3 linked regions of the Caenorhabditis elegans genome follow. The protein of the gene in region 2 purifies or fractionates together with the protein of the main gene of each other region. This does not show direct contact. Each region holds a gene or a part of one and is shown on either strand. Other genes may lie near its edges.

Region 1 (5,080 bases), on a different chromosome or scaffold from region 2:
ACATTCTTCTCCACTTCCGGCACAATTTTCACGTTGATCATCGCATCGGCAGTCTTATCACCGTCCGTCGCGACTACTGTCAAATTTACAGTATCTCCAAATGAACTAATTGACAGGAATTCCGGATGCAAAATTGACAGGATTCCTTCTTTCGGATGAATTGAGAATAGGCCGGATGCATCCCGAAGCGAATATAGAACCTCTGAACTTCCACCTTTTGTCGAGATTTTCACGAGATGGTCTTGCTCTCCGGTGTGCTCTTCGATTGTGGTTTGGTAGAGTTTTTGGGCCATTTTAAGAGAGGATTTCTGGAAAAAGAACAGATTTTTAGAAAAGACACAATTTTAAGTGTTTCCATCTTATAAAAATCCCTTTAAACACTTCAGACAATTTTATATTTCGGCAAATCGGCAAACCGGCAACTTGCCGATTTGCCAAATTTGTCGACCAAAAAAATTTGCCGAAAGCTAAATGCCGCTCACCCCTGATTCAAAACTTTCTGAAATTTTACCTTTTCCTCTTGAAAAGTGAGCAAGGCCTCCACGTGGTTCTCCCCATTCCGTAGCACCAAAATCACCACAAACGGAAACGTAACCTCACATGGCGTGTCCGCGTGGCATGGTACTGTATTCAGAATAATTTTGTCGTCTTCAAAAGTGGCAGTGACTCGTTGAGCGTAACTTCCGAGAATGTCTAGTTCCGAATTCGGTGGAATTGGTGAGCTTACTCTCACAATTGCAGTTTCTTTTTCTTGGAAATCAGATTTTACGACGAAGTTTGAAATTTCTGGAATTGATGGGAGATCCGAGGAAGCTTCAACCTCAAAATTGATGGTCTCTTCTTGAACTTTGCCGGAGATTACACCGATTGCTTGGAGCTAAAAAAAATGTATTTTTGAGGTGGCTCTTTCACATAAAAACCCTACCTTAACCTTGCTCTTCCCACTATCAAATGCATTTTTGTTCACTAAAATGAATTTAACAGGCTGACCAGCATCAATTATTGAGCCATTTATTGCAATTGGGGACGGATTTGTGCCTTCAAGCTCTAAGTTAAGAGCTTCGTCAATGTCCTAAAAAAATTTTTAAAAATTCTTTCATTACAAAAAAATTCTTGTAAAAATTCTTGTATTTTAAAAAATTCTTGTATTTTTTAACATAGTAAAAATTAATATAATTAGATCATCGAGTGATCTCATAAAATTTAGAGTTTCGGAAGTTTTTTAAAATTTAATACTACAATTCCAATCAGGGGCGGGCGGCTAACAATTTTTCAGGCAAATCGGCAACTTGCCGGAATTGAAAATTTCCGGCAAATTGGCAAACAGGCAATTTACCTGTTTGCCGAACTTGCCGAAAATTTTCGGCAAATTGTGGTTTGCACATTTTTTCTGGAAACTTCAGAATTTGAATTTTAAGTATTTCCGTCTTAGAAAAAATCCCTCAAAAAATTTCCTGCAAATTGATATCCGACAATTAGTCGATTTACCGATTTGCCGACTTGCCGGAAATTTTAATTCATTGCAACTTGCTCATTTGCTTATTTGCTGGAAATTTAGATTTTTGGCAATTTGCCTATGTGCCGATTTGCCGTTTTGCCGATTCGCCAAAGAAAAAAGTTTGCCGTCCACCTCTTGTTCAACTTTTAAAATTCAGAAAATACATATGTTCTTTATAATTTATTTTTGCTATTTCATCAAAATGACTCTAAGACCTTTAAGATATCTATTGGATAATCCAATTGACCCTATTATGTAATCACTTCCTATCTCTGTCTTTTTTCTTGGTTTCGGCAATAATCATTAATCACCGCACTTGTCTTATCAAATTTTTCTTTCATGAATCTCTTGATGGTTTTCTTGACGGACAAGTGAGACAAAAATCGAACACGCGAATTGGGTCAAAAACAACAAGTTTGCGTAGTAGGTAGGGTGGAGTGTGTGTGGGGTAGTGATTAAGCCTTGAAGGTTTTGGAACATTAGTGATAGGTAGGTGATTAAAAATTACCTAATGGATAGGGGATCGTAATTTGTCTTACTATTAGAATTTTTCTACAAGCTCAAACATTTTCAAGCGCACATTTTTGCCAATATTGAGAATTTAGTTTTTAGTTGAGATTTTGCATAGTCAATTTGAAGATTTATCAAAATTTTCAGTAAAATCTTTAGCAAATCGGCACATTTTTTTTTTGGCAAATCGGCACGAAAATTGGACACAATTTAGGTTTATTTAAATTGACTCAAAAAAATTTCAAAAACTTGTTTAACTTTTTTCTTGGATATTTAGTTATTTCAGCATTAGATAAAAAAAATTGTATCTTTTAACTTTTTTAAAACTCACCTCAGAAGCCCTTATAAACTCGGGTCCTATTATAAGATCACCTTCTTGAGCATTTCTCGGTATTTTGAATGTTGTGGATGGAATTGAAAGGAGGTCTGGAAAAATTTGAAATGAGGGCTTAACAATAATATAAATGTAGTGCGATTGCAAGTTTTTTGCAAACCCGTGAGATGTCGGCTGCCAAAGTTTTGTGACGTATTGTGAGTGGCAAATTAAAATATTTCAAAATCTCATTTACCAAGAAGAATAGACCATAAATTTCATGTTTGATTTAATTTGTTCAGTTTTCCAAAAAAAAAATTGAACATTCTAAGATCATTAAAAAATTACAACTTCAAATTCTGACCAAAAAATTCATAAATTCACAACAATTTCAAAAAGAGAAACTAAACTGCCTGCATGTCTTCAAAGTATTTACAAAGTATCAAACAATTTTATGCGAGTTCAGGTAAAAATGCAGACATTTAAAATAGGCAGGCAGGCATGAAATCGTGCCTGCCTACAACAGAAGCCTAGAAAACAAGTTTGAAAAATCTCACCTCCATAAACCAAAAGAGGTAGTAACAGTAGTAATAAAATGCCTTCTTCCCGCATACCTCACCAGGTGTTCCGTCTTTTTTTTTATTCGACAGCCGGTATCTCTTTTACCTTCCCGCAATAGATAGTTAAGCAGGAAAAAGAAAATGAACCTTGTGCAGAACAGTGAGAAAGAAAAAACAAGGGCGGCAAATGGAAGAAGGGAGTGAAGCGCCGCGGTAAAAATCATTTGAAATAGGTCATCTAGTGAAGAAGATCAGATACTTGCTGCTAGCCGTTGGAAGAGACTTGGTAGAAAAGAAGTTGAATTTTTCACGGAACATTTTTTGGGGGAAGGCGAGATGGTATCTGGAACAAGAGTTTGAAACGGATGCCTTTTTATTGAGGGTTGAAACATGGGGTCTAAGTTTTTTCCAGTTTTAGCCAGAGAAGGCAATATTAGAAGCTCTAATAAAGCAAAGTCTTCAAAAAACTGTTCTGAAAAATTTCTATCAAATGTTGCTCAAAAGTGCAAATGTTGAAAGAATGTAGTGCATCTGTACACCATCAAAAACAATTCCTTGCTCAACTAAAATCACAAAAATATAAAAAAAATTCTGGATTCTACAAAATTTGGTCTTTTTAGTGTATTTTAAATCGCCATAAAATATTTTGTTGAGAATTTTTGAGAAGTCATACACAGGAGGGAAAAATCTACGTTTGTGATCTACAAAAAATTTCGTTTTCGGCAGACTGCTGATTTGCCGATTTGCCGGAAATTTCTAATTTTGGCAAATTGCCGATTTGCCGTTTGCCGGATATAAATTTGTCGGAAGTCTTGAGAGGGATTTTTTAATAATACTGAAACACTTAAAACTGTGCCTTTTTATTTTTTCCCCTTTTCTTTAGATATTTTCAGATATTTTGCTTATTTCAAAATAGATGTAGAGACATTTAAAAAATGCATACAACTTTGCCGATTAAAATTGAAATTTGAAATTTTTAAAAAAAATATGCAAACTGCAATTTGCCGAAAATTTTCGCCACTTGCTTTTTTCCGGCAAGAATCGACAAAATGTCGGTTTGTCGATTTGCCGTTGCCGGAAAACATCGTGTGCCGCACACCCTGCATCTTTTTTAATTGAGCCGTTTTTAAGATAAATCCCATTTAAAATTGCGACTACTGTAGAAATTGATGTATGGAAGTAGGGTTTGCCTCCCCGCGCACATAATGAAGTTTGGTATATTTTTCAAACCAACATTAATTTTGGTGCTACTCCACCTTTGAATTTGGTAGCACACTAATATTATAGAATTAATAATTTTAAAACTCGGGCAAATTAATTTTTTTTTCGCAGCTCTTAATAGTCTCGCACAGACTACTTGCCGCCAGAACTTTGTGGAAATTACAATGAATTCTTAATTTTTATTTTGGTTTTAAACGGCATATAAGATTTTGTTACATATCGATTTTCCAAGGATATGGAATATTTCAAAATTAGCTTTGCAGGATCTAATGTTCTAACAGTCTCCATAAGTTTTGCATTATTACAGATTTATTCAAATTACTCCTGAGAGCAAGAAATATGGAATATTCATATCAGGGGTGTGCGGCAAAATTGCCGATTTTGACAAGCACGGAAAATTTTAAATAAGCATATTTGCCGAATTTGCCGCACGTTCCTGATTCATATATACTTTGTTCGATGATGTAAAAACTACATAAACATTCATCATCATTCAAACCTCAATATCTCAAACCTAATAACTTATTTTTAATTATGACAAGTTTCAAGTATACGGTAACAAAGGGCAAAGTATTTTTCAGAAACAATCGGATTTCTGAACAACAAAATGATGCAAATATATTTTGTCCCCAACAGGCGGTCGATCGTACTCTGCATTCCGTATTAAGTGACTAACCACGTGGGAAGGAAAAGATGTCTGATCTTAGAAGAAGGTGGAGACAATTGTCATCATGACTGGATTACTGTAGGTGTCTGTATTTAAGTTGGAAATAGTCTTTTGATGTTTTATTGTTTAGTGGCAGTGTTTGCACCTTAGTGGTTTGAACGATGTTTTGAAATATCCATTTTTCGAACACGTGTTGTGGTTTGGCGGTATATCTATTTTGGAATGTTATACTGCGTTGGAAAAATATTAACTTACTGTATTTCCTCTAGCAAAGCTATTTCTCAACTGAGGGATGCGAGACTAATATAAAA
Region 2 (8,080 bases):
ATTTTAATTTATTCCGTTTTGTTATGCATTATTGCGGGCTTTCTTTCTCCTCCTTCTCGTCATTTTTCCTTTTATTTTTTTTCTAATTTTCTTCAATTTATTTTATGATGTCTTTCCTTGTGCTCTCAGCTTCAACTAATATGCGAAACCTAATTAAACAACTTCCTTATGATGCAACAAACATCATTCACACTCATCTCTACGGATGAAACCGAAAATAACTAGTCATTTACTGTATAGGTCGTTTAACATATTTTTCGGCAGAATAAACATTTTTGAATTACCTCTCCAGTATTACCCCTTACACTAACGGCGGCTTTTATCTAACTCAGAGACCGAAAAACGAAACGTATTATTAATTATCAATTTTCAATTATTTAAGAGTGGTTTTGGGTTTTGTTCCAGTGATAAAATGTATTGTAATACAAAATATAATTTTTATAAAAAAATAAGAAAAACAAATAAAAAGCCGAATAAAGTCATATAGAATCTTTTTCTCAATGATTGGAAAAAATATATATCTGAACACAATAAAACCTATAAGAACTTTCATTGGTAACCCGAGAAAATGATGAGTGCTTGGGACTTTGGGCAGATTTAAAGAGAAGAAATCTTGAATGTTTATATTCAAATAAGAAAAATTTAAAAAAAAATAAATTGAAAATCATAGTTGATCTGTAGAATCTGAAGTTGTATACCAGAAAATTGGAGATTGAAAATGAGCGTTTTGGAAGAAAATGATTGAACTTTGAAAATTGTTAATTTGAAGAAATAACAAAGTGGTGTAATTAAAATCGATTTTGGTTGAAAATGTTCTTACTTTATAAAAGCAGTTCTGCCACTGCAACTGCTAGGCTCAAAGAAAAACATTTTTCGACCAACTTCAACTTTTAACACCACTCCGATCGAAATATCAAAAAAAAATCAAAGGAAAGAATTGTTGCCTATGTCATGATATTCATAGCGACTCCGGCTCGAACAGCACATTGAGCATGAAATGTAGGAAAGGAAGGACCTTCGGAACTGATGATTTGTGAACATGTAGATCAAAAACTTGCAACACGGACCAGACACCGCTAACCACACGAAGAAGAATGTGAGCTGGAAACATTTCAAAATTAATTTTTCAGATTTAAGACTGCACTTACCATTGATAAATCCATATCAAATGGGCCCCATATTAATTCGCACACCTTCAATGTAATCAATGGAAGCCATGACAAGAAAAATGTGACAAACAGAAAACCAGTTAATACAAAGTTTGGGTCTGTTTCCACGAGCATTCTTTGACTATCATCAAGCTGAAAATTTAATTTTTTTTCCTCAATAGTCAGTCGATTTTCAAATTTACCGCTGCAGGATTTCTCATAGCTGACCAGATTTTCCAGCCTGTGTTAAAGACGGTTACTAAAGTTGGTACAAAGACAAGTAGGAGTAAGGTCACACTGTATGCAGATGTTGCGGACCAGTCCAGGACACATAACTGCGCGTCGGGATAGAACACAACCTGTAAAATGAAATTGAATTGGAAATGTTAAATAGCAGGTGAATCTAAAATTTTTACCATTTTGTGCTTGTCGGACTAGCCTAAAATCATATATTATATTGGTAGTTTATTTCATGTTTTTTCATTGATTTTAAGATCAGTTATTGGCCGATGAGTGCAGAAATTTGGTACCATTTTGTATAATCATTAACTTAAAAAAACTTAAATCTATGGCTTCATGTTTGAAGTAAATGAGTAATAGACAAAATTGAAGATTCTAGGTGAATCAGAATTTTTATTCGCCCCTTTTTGTGAGTGATTTTAATTGTTAAAGGTGGAGTAGCGCCATTGGGGAATTAGTTTAAATACACTTATTATGTTCCAAAACGACCGAATATCATAATAAAACACGGCAAAAAAATTTTGATTTTTCATAATTTCCGGTCAAAGTTTTGGCAAAAACGGTTAATGGCCAAAATTTTGAAAAACATGAGTTTTCGAGGAAATACAAAGCAATTTTGCATGTTCCGACCCCTGCAATGATTTAATACAAACAATTTAAACAAAATAACAGCATAAAAAATGTAGAAAAACATTTTTTTTTTGGACGACTTCCAAAATTATGAGTGGCGAAAATTGAGTAATTGTCACTATTTGACAGTAAATAAAAAATTTTCAAAAAATGTTTGAAAAGTTTTATTGTGATATTTGGTCATTTTGGGACCAAAGAAGTGGTTTTTAACAATTTCCCCACTGGCGCTACTCCACCATTAAGTAATAAAAAATATTCGCTTTTTCACTAACGTTCATACTTAAACAGTTCCAATTTGAAAACGCACAGTACATTCCTACTGGACATTTGTCAGTTGTACGCAACATTATAGGCTGGATATTGTTTTCTACCTATGTTTGCAAATAAAAATACAATTTCGACCTATGAAAATTGATTTTGAAATGCAAGATTTACGTTTCCTACAGGGTGCCCCAAAAAATGGGAACCCAAGTACTGCACACAGAAAACACGATTTGAGAACGTTTGAAACCAGACATTTTTGTTTAACTAATAGCTGGCATATTTTCATCTATTTTTTTCTTACTATCAGTTAACATAAAAACCAAAAGAATTTGGAAACCTAGTGGATTGAGCGCAGTCGAATCTTTTTTCTTGACGCGTCCCAGAGCCACTATTTCATTGGGATTACTATGAAAAATTGTTGTTAGTCTTGATATTCTAGTATATCATGGTATAACAAGACTAATTAAAAAATAATTTATTATCCAACGTCATGAATTGTCAGATTTGTAATAATTTATTTTTGAAATATTACCTACTTTTTTGAAAATTAATTTCAAAAACATATGAATTTTGGAACCCATCGGGAAATCATCGAATACTAACCTGCATTCTTGCAACAATTATTGGGCAGCATAGAAGCATTGAAGTTAACCAACTAAACACTATCCAACACTTGCACCTAGTTAGTGACTGCTCGCTATATCGTGATGGCTTCATCATTGCAGAGTACCTAAAATTCAAATTCTTTTTTTTTTCAAATAATTCCTCCGTTCCCCTTTTAAATATTATATAGTATAAAAGAGCAAGTGTAAAAAGGGTAGATTTGTCATCACCATGCAATTTTGCTTTCCGTTTCCGTTCTTACCAAAAAGGAAATATACAATCGTCATTATATAACCAACCTATCGATACATATCCATGCGAAAGTGTAAACGGTGGAGCAGAAAAGTGCAATTTGGAGATAGGCCGCACTTTTGCAAATGATCGAATTGTCGCCACCGATTCGCCAGTTGCCTTCCAAAGTTGAATAGATGCTCAGGGGGATGACGAAGATTGCGGTTAGCAAATCCGCCACTGATAGGGATATCTGGAAATAAAGAATTAATTGAGAATTGTGTTCTGCATATTATTACTGTTTTCAAGTTGTGAATTTAGAGGTTCAAACCCGCGCAGCTACTCACTTTTTCACACCAAAATGTTTTCTTCAGAAACAGAAATGTGTGCCTAATTGAATTCAACCCAGTTTAGGTTTTCTCAGAGTCTGATGCAGAACCTCCATCTCGTTAACATTCACACCCCCGACACACAAAAATGACAATCAACACTATGTGCCAAGTTAGGTCGCTTTTGCAAGTTGATTATGACCGCATTTTGAAATAAGAAATTTATATTATAGTTTATTCAAATAATTTCCCATTAAAATTTGTAAATTCCGAACTCAATTTTGATCCTAATTATTCATCTCCTCTCTCCTGTCTAGAAAGCAGACTATACATTTGGAGAAAACAGAAAAAAAGAAGACGACAAGGAGCAATATATGAGAGGAGGTTTAATGCTTCTTTTGCACATAAATTAAGAGGCCACACATGATGAAATAGCATTGCGCCATGAAAGCATCGCGCGCGCGATGGATCATACGCAAAGCGTTCTGAGAAATTGGGAAACGGAGAAAAATAAATGAATAGTCGGGTAGGAGATGAAGAATTAAATTTGAGGAAATTGGGTTTTATGATCTGCATCACGTCATTTTACGGGCTTTAGGCTCTAAATTGTTGGAAATATTAGATCAGCTTTCTTTAAAAATTTTTGTCTAGAATTGAACAAAATTTTATTGCAAGCTAGATTTTTATATTTTAATTCTTGAATAAAACATAGAATCGACGAGGAAAATGAAAATGTGAGAACTATACGACAATGAGCAAAAAATGATGTAAATTCACGTGACGCCTTTGGTTCATAGGTACATTTTTTTAAATCAAAAAGCTAGAAATAAATATATTTTTTGGTCAGTGCTGTGATTAGTAAGTTGTAGGGCTCCCAGGTGATTGAGGCGCAAAATGCGGGCCTCAAGCCGACGCCGCGCGCCGCTGTGTGTGTGTGTGTGTGTGTGTGTGTGTGTGTGTGTGTGTGTGTGTGTGTGTGTGTGTGTGTGTGTGTGTGTGTGTGTGTGTGTGTGTGTGTGTGTGTGTGTGTGTGTGTGAAGTGCGAAAGGTAATTTGGAGCGGCCGACAAGCTCGGGGTTCCGCAGATTGGCGTGAAACGAGTGTGTGCACAACGTAGTCCATTGGGGTGATTGTTTGGAAGCGACCGACACATTCGGGGTCCGCGCCGTACTATACATTTGAAGACATGCAGTGATCTCATGGGAGCCATAGTGAGTTGTTTTGAAATTGGTAACATCTTACTATTGGCAGGTCTTAAAACTTTGTGAACAATAGTTTAGAGTTTTTTCTCAAGTAATAAGATTATTGTTTGTTTGAACTAATTTTCAAAAGATAAAGATTTCTTTTAAATTTTTAAAAAATACGGACGTTTTTTTACCTTTAGCAGTGAGCGAAACACCAACAAAAACTCAATTTTTAAAACTCATTTGCTGACCGTTAATTTGCAGCTTTTGTGAACTTGTGAGAAAAAAGTTTACGTGCAACAAACTAGAAACAAAAGTTGTTTTGCAACAAACTAGAAACAAAAGTTGTTTTTCCAACAAAAAAGTCACGAAGTTGGAAAAATGACTACATACAGATTTTTTCCTTCTTATGATGCATTAAAAATGAGAACCTTATGGAGAAAAAGCCAACGATTTTAGAAGCCACTGGGGACATGGTAATAGAAAACGGGGCAAATTTTTTATGCTCTTTTGCTTTTGTATGCGTTTTTTTTTATTCAAGCGGATTTACTCACCAAATAACATCCGATAACGTCAGACAAGTCCGGGGTGAACGCGATGACAGTGATGTTGAGAATCGATGTGACAAAAAGAAGCAAGTCGACGGCGAGGATGAGAGACGCACGTCCCAACGACTCCGCGGTCAGACTGCGAACATCGACAGGCGGCCACATACTCGGGCTCGTCGTCCACAGTGCCACCTGAAAGTTTGTGAAAGGTTAAGCTGGAGGTTGAGCAAGAAAAATGAAAATCTAGTAGAAATTTCTCGGCAGCTACTCAAAAGAAAAGTTTTTCAAGTGCACGTTGTAATAAATCATGGGCCGTGTATGTGTAACTATGGTAATTTCGTTTCAACGTTTTTTGAAGAGTTCGTTTAAAACATCAAGGTGTTGCCTTTTTTTGTTGCTTCAAAATATACAGGGTGGTGTTAACCCAGTTGTGTTAACGAAGGTGTCCTGGGATGTTTTTTGAAAACTTCGTAATATTTGTCATGTTAGCCGAAATGATATTTATCAGCTATCAAAGAAAATAGGGGCTCTGAAATACAATTTTATGCTGCTGAATATGTGTTAGCCATAAACATCAGATCCTCGATTTAACCCTCAAAATGAGAACAGGTGATTTATGTATATCACATTTTTATTTAAATTTTCAGTTCACAATCTTATTAGACTACCGTATGAAAAAAAAAAACTTCTCACCTTGTGCCTAATGAGGCCATTCAGGTTCCCCAATGAGAAAACCGAAGGTGTGCCAGTCTCGATGTTGTCTTGGTTATCACTCTGTAGATCAAATTGTAAGTAGGTGACGCCAAAGTTGCGGATTATTGGTTCGACACCGGCACGACCACCCTATCGCTGTTCTTTCTGTAATTTTTGAGTTTCGAGAAGTGCTCGAGCAAGAAACGGGAGAGGCAATTTTAAATAAAAGGTTAATTTGGCTAGAATTGACAAACTGAAATTCAATCATATTCAAAGAAATTCTGTTCAAACCAAACCAGGAAACAAGTTTGGCAGGTGCTGAAGTTCTCAGAAACATCCTATGATGGATGTAAATAGAAAAAAAGTGTGAATATGTGCCGGAGTGTAACACAGAAAATTGTGCATTGCACCAGGACACCACCACCAGAAGAGACACGAAGACATAGTTGGTCAAAGGAAGATAAGATGGAGTCTTCTAGTCGTGGTCGTCGTGGCTTTCGGATTTAGCGTGGGACCTCCCCGCCACAATCAGAGAGGAGCCAATTTGCGTTCTGCCCCACAAATGGCTCACTCGCCTCACCAACAAAGGACACATCGTTTTCGTTTTCGGAAAAGAAAACGGATTGCGACATGGGAGAGGAAAAGAAGAGTAAAAGATGGATAGAGATGGGGGCCCAAAAACGGACCACCGCCGGGGAAAGACGAGTGAGAGAAGAAGGCGAAAGGAGAAGAAGGATAGGAAGTGAATATCTGCTGGCTGGAATGCAAAATGTTCGTAAGTTGATACTAATGGCGATGACCACATATTTTGTTGAATTTTCAACTTTTAGGGAATTAGTATTTTTTTGAAAAGTGAATGGGACTGTATCTGGAGACTTAGATGTTTCTACAACATTCCTAATTACAGTTAATACATCTGACCGGAAATACAGTGAATAACGAAAGAACAAGGATGGAACACTTGAAAGAATTACAAAAAATTTTAACTCTAACATTTTTTGTTACGTTACTTTACCGTTAATCAAAATCTAGAAATTAAATTTTTGTATAAGGTTTTGAAAACTTTATCACAATTTTAAAGGTGGAGTACCGAAATCTAGGAAATATTTTTAATTGATCAAAATTTTCCCCTGGTTCCGAATATAGATGTAAAAAATTCAAAAAAATTTTCCTGATTCTATATTTAAACTGGAAATCACGATTTTAATTTGTGCCTCGGGCTCTTTTTTCAAATTAGTGCTCAAAGAAATTCGCATTCGAGCGCGTTTGAATTGTAATCGAATTCAATTTTTTTAACCAGTTTCATTCATTCTGGTCGAAAAAAAAATTTCCGAGAAAAACCGACGATGAAAACTTGACGAAAATTAATCACACTGGTTTAAAAAAATGAATTCGGCAAAAATAAATAAAATAAACTAAGAAAATCAAAAAATGCAAGCGCGCTCCAATGTGAATTTCTTTTGGCGCGTATTTGAAAAAAGAGACCGAGGCACAAATTAAAATCATGATTTCAAGCTTAATTATATAATCAGGAAACCTTTTTTGCATTTTTTCACATTGATATTCGGAATCAGGGGAAAATTTGGAGTCAAATAAAAATATATCCCAGGTTTCGGTACCCCACCTTTAAAAAGTTTACACACAAAAAAATTTTCAATTAATAAATGGAAAATTTGAAAATTTATCGGTTTTTTTTTTGCTGCAAATTTCAGAGCTGTTCCGCGTATTTGAACTACAAAGAAAAAAAATTATCAGGTTTGATAGTTTTAGCATGATAGAAAAAGAACAATCAGATTTTTGAAAAGACAAAACCCGAAAAACGAACAAGCATGAATAAAAGTGATAATTATAATAGAAAAATTTGTTTGTTTTTCACTTTGAGAAAATTAAAATGCTATATTATCACGTTTTCCCTGAAAACACGCTTCAGCCATAACCAAATTTTCAGAAATAAAATGACTCATAGTGGAATCACGCTTTAATAGAAATTTTAGGTTCCTGGGAAAAAGAAGTGAGACAGAATGGAGAAGGGGGGATCGAAAAGAAAAATGACAAATCGGTTTGGCCATTCGGTGGGAAACAGGAACCTCCAATGACGTTTCGAATGGGAGTTCAGAAATCTTGGCAGTAGGCCAATTTGAACAATACCGAACTAAATAGGGAAATGAGAGCACCGCCGATGGTGGGAAACGAAAGGAGACAAAAAAAGT
Region 3 (4,499 bases), 6.9 Mb from region 2:
CTTTTTGACTCTAAATATAAAATGATAAAAATTTTCCGAATTTCGAAAAGTTTTACAACGTATGATATTTAATAATTTCGGCACCTTAAAAGTGGTTTTTATTAATTTCCCCACTGGCGTTATACACCTTTAACTACATTATTTAAAATAATTTTTTTCAAAAATGACCTACAAAGTTATTTCAAAACGAAATTTTCACAAATATTTTTTAAAAAGTCTATGGTTTCCAACATTAATGTAAAACTATAATGTGTTATTCGTGGTAAGGAAAAATAGACCATGAATGCTAGAAAATATGATTTTTTCGTGTTTATAAATCAATAAAACGTCAGCTTGAGTGGGTTTAACCTTTCATTCAAAGAAACATCAACATCAGCATCTACCGTCTAAAACTGTGACTCACGTCAGAACGACTCAAAGGATTCTCCGCATTTCGAACTGTCTGTTCAAATATTTACCGCCGCAGATTCGCTGAAAACAGATTTCTTATTGTTTGTTGCGCGCTGCTTCTCTTTCATCACTATTTGCTTTTTAACTTTGATGGGGATCGTGGTGAAAAGAGTATTTATTATTGGGTTTGTTGAAGATTACACCGGAACAAAAATGTAAAAGAAGGCATTGAAACACACTCTAAAATACAAAGATGGATTTGAAAATTAGGGGAAAATGAACAGTTAGGGGTAAAATGAAAGAATTGTCAGCAGCGTTTTTTTATTTGTGATGATGAGGTGGGGTATGATGACGGTTGGAGCGTTTAGGCTGGAACGGCCTCGGCAGCAGCTTCACTATCTGGGATCACAACCTCCTGAAAATAATATTGTTTAGAGAAAATGTATGAATCGTGTACTTACAGCTCCCTCATTTGGATTTTGGCTTTGAACTGGTCCATCTTCAAACTCCTTATCTGGAACTTGAAGTGGAATTGGGTTGACTGGTGGCTTGGCTGCATCTCCCTCGGCTTTCACTTGTTCGACGTACTTTGGTGGTTCAAGGTTCTTTCTGGAAAAACGAACGAATATTTTTCATTTTTCTTTAAACACACACCTGATCTGTTCAAGTTCCTCGTTCTCTTTGCGTCCCCATTCTGCTGGCGGCCGGGATGTTCCGTGGACAAGGGTGTAGGCTGGCTTGACGAATGGGTTTTCGAAGAGGTAACGACGATCACCATATGATCTTCTGTCAGTCTGACGATCGAACTTGGAGGCTGTGGTGATCTTAGGTGGATGGACGGAAGAGGCGGCTTCCTCTGGGTCAAGTCCTTTCTTGAGGGCCTTGTTACGAGCAACTTGGCGTTGACGCTCGTTGAGCTCTTTCAACTGAAATAATTTTTTGGGTTTGAAAGATTTGGAAATTTATGAATTTAAAAAATTAAACCCGACGATAAAAGCTACTCACGTCGTACTCTTGACGCTCACGTCTCTTTTCCAAATCGTACTTTTCTCCCTCAAGCTTGACAATACGGGCATGAATTCCCTTGATTCTCTCCTTCAAATCGTTTGGCATGAGTGTTGAAACATCTTGGGCCTTGCAAACAACGTTCAAAAAAGCTCTCTTGGCGTCCTCTTGTTGTTCTTTGGTGAGTCCTTCAGCCTTGGCTCCTTGAGCAAGGTTTCCGAAGTTGGCGGCTTGATCGCCCTTGTTGGAAACAGTGAAGTTCTTTCCTCCTGGGGCTCCAACGGCAGCTCCGGCGAATGATCCAGCCATCATTTGCTGACGACGGGACTTCTCCTCGTTCTTGCGAGCCTTCTCCGCATCAGCCTTAGCTTTGCGATCTTCCTCGTCCTTGCGACGTCTCTCTTCATCTTGACGTCTTCTTTCGGCAAACTGACGCTCGTCTTCCTCACGCTCAGCACGACGTTTCTCTTGTTTTTCTTTAAGCTCACGGAGCTCTTGCTCCATTTGCTCCTTTTCGAGAACACGGCGTTGTTCGTAATCAAGAAGCTTGGCGGCTTCCTCTTCCTCGTGACGTTTCTTTGCTGCCTAAAAATTTCCAAAATATTCTTGAATCAATTTGAATAGATTGATAAATTCAATTCTAATCGACTGTTGAAAAAATGATAAACAAAATATATATTTCTAGAAATACAGAATCAGTTCTATAGTTATAACTGATGTTCCATTACTTCTCTAAATTCGATCTACCCCTTTACACCCCTGTTTCAATACTTCTACTCAGTCAATATCCATAAATTCCAATTACTCACAAGCATGGCAGCTTCAGCCTCAGTCATCTCTGCTGGTGGCTTCTCCTCCTGAACTGGTGGACGTGGCTTTGGTTTCTCCTCGACTGGAGCTTCCTCTTCGGCGGCTTCTGGCTCTTCCTCTTCAGCAGCAGCATCTTCGGCGGCGGCTTCCTCTTCCTCGACCTCCTCGGCCAGGGACTCTTCTACTTCCTCCTCCTCTTCACCGGAACTTAAATTATATAAACTTTAGTAAATTAGATAATTTATAAAAATTATGGATTCCAAAATTTCAAATTTTAAATTTTGCAACTATCACAAAAAACTCACAGCACTTCCTCTTCGTCAGACATGGTTATCACTGAAAAATTTTAAGTATTTAAAGTTTCTATCAGAAAAACAGTAAAAGATTTTTTAAAAAAGTAGGTAAAGCCGAAAAACAAAAAAAATTCAAAACTAATTATTTTGCTCAAATACCAAAACTTAATTCTAAGTTACAAACTGCCTGAACACGTCTTCCGTTTCTGTGTCCAAGTTGGAATGAACAATAGAAATGTGTGGTTTCGGTAAGCCACCCCTTGAGCCTCCTGCCATCCAGTTCCCGGATTGTGGGGCGGGGCCGTTGGTGCCATTCTTTTTCATCTTCTCTTCCCGTTGCTCTCCTTATCGTTGTGTAACTTGTAACGAAGCGAGTCCGCCGGCGCCGAGAGATCACATCTCTCGCGGGATTCGAAAGAGAAGATGGACCAAACAAAAACGACGGGTAGGCGGAGGTGTGCGTTGTAAACCTTGCCGATGAGCACACGGCAGCGACTTTGCCTCATGAAGAGGAAATAGATAGAAGAAGTGAAAAGAGCACAAATTACTGCTTGCTTTCTGTTTCTTGAAAGATAGAGAAGCAGCCGACGAGGAAGAAGAAGACAACAAACAACTTTTTGGGTTTTGCTATCTCTAGTCTTCTGGTTCTCCACGGGCTCCCGCGACTCGTCGCTTAGTCCGGAATAAATCTTCCGTCACCACATGGCCTAGAGATACGGGGGATTGTGATGTTTCGGTGAGAGACAGAAAACAAAAAATGAGAAAAAGTTTAAGAACAGCGAGTTGTGTTCTAAGCAAGGGCTGACAGAAAATCCAGGGACTTGGATTACACTCATCGTGTTTTTAATGATATATTCGGAACAGAAATTCAACAATAATGTTCATGGGAAACAAGGTAATGTTGAAAAATGTGTATTTGTAGAAAAAAGCCTATAATGTGATTTGAATCAATATGACAAGAACAATCTCAGATTAATTGGAGTGCAATACCATATTTGGTTTCAAAAATCTATCCAAACTAGTTGCTTGAAATCTTATTACACCATCGATTTCAAATGTTTCAAGCAATTGAATTTGACAATATATGCTCAAAATATCAAACTTTCTGGTTTTTACAGAAATCAGATTTTTGCTGGATCTTTTAAAGTTGTTGTATTGAACAATTTAATTAACATTTATGATCTGCATTGGTTTCTGCAGCAAATGTGTTTTAATGGACTTTGCATAAAATTTTATTATATCACTAATTGCATATGCTTTAGTTCATTTAATAAATTGATAAAGGATTAATGTAACTTCTGAGTTTTTTGCAGTTTTTAATTTAGGAAGGCGTTTTTTACATACTCTCTATTCTCGATATCACCTTATTGAATCTTAATGCCTTTGAAATCTTAACGATTTTTTCTACAAATCGGTTTTCTCGAAATAGTTTCAATCCTTCTATCATCTTGTTCTCTTCACGCTTTATGTGATTGTGTTGTTTGTGCGACGATTGCTCAATCTCACGATGAGCACAAATTGAAATATGTATTTGTAATGTCATTTATTTAAACTTTCCAGTGATGCTTTTGATAAACTACCTAGATTTTTGTTTTGCGTTTTTTTTTCTCAGGAAAACGAGAAAACATAAATATCGAGTTACTCGTTGCCGCAACACACGTGAGCCGTTGCGCTGTGATTGATTATGGAGAAATAAAACCTGCCTTGTCATGAATTTGAATTTCCCCGCTTTCTGTCTATGAATCCGTAATTTTTTATAGTTCTGTTCAGTTCTTACCTGTTCAGTTTTTTGGCACACTGGAAACTGTTCAACAGTATCAACAAATAAGTGATGATTATCACTTGCGCATAGTTTTTTGATTGATAAATAAATGATTTCAAAACAAAGAAAATATTCCAAGTTTTTTGGTTTTTAGACAATCCGATTTTTAAGATTTTTTTTTTTGGAATATCTTACGAACTTCTTTCTACCGAATTTTTTTGATGGGGAAAGTGTGACGA

What was found.
Region 1: the proteins of pcdr-1 (region 2) and cdh-7 fractionate together in Caenorhabditis elegans (co-fractionation; one large-scale study listed by BioGRID). This does not show direct contact.
Region 3: the proteins of pcdr-1 (region 2) and tnt-2 fractionate together in Caenorhabditis elegans (co-fractionation; one large-scale study listed by BioGRID). This does not show direct contact.

Annotation. Positions count from the first base shown.
Region 1 is NC_003280.10:14,841,181-14,846,260, reverse strand, and holds the start of cdh-7 (Cadherin domain-containing protein), read right to left. Parts: upstream 3,085-5,080; 5' UTR 2,934-3,084; coding exon 2,879-2,933; intron 2,435-2,878; coding exon 2,340-2,434; intron 1,073-2,339; coding exon 926-1,072; intron 878-925; coding exon 512-877; intron 309-511; coding exon 1-308.
Region 2 is NC_003284.9:15,664,716-15,672,795, reverse strand, and holds pcdr-1 (Melatonin receptor pdcr-1), read right to left. Parts: upstream 6,036-8,080; 5' UTR 5,871-6,035; intron 5,370-5,870; 5' UTR 5,343-5,369; coding exon 5,184-5,342; intron 3,370-5,183; coding exon 3,185-3,369; intron 3,013-3,184; coding exon 2,886-3,012; intron 1,508-2,885; coding exon 1,352-1,507; intron 1,302-1,351; coding exon 1,149-1,301; intron 1,102-1,148; coding exon 925-1,101; 3' UTR 426-924; downstream 1-425.
Region 3 is NC_003284.9:8,721,010-8,725,508, forward strand, and holds tnt-2 (Troponin T), read right to left. Parts: upstream 2,542-4,499; 5' UTR 2,534-2,541; coding exon 2,511-2,533; intron 2,413-2,510; coding exon 2,205-2,412; intron 1,981-2,204; coding exon 1,396-1,980; intron 1,317-1,395; coding exon 1,045-1,316; intron 1,000-1,044; coding exon 852-999; intron 806-851; coding exon 755-805; 3' UTR 537-754; downstream 1-536.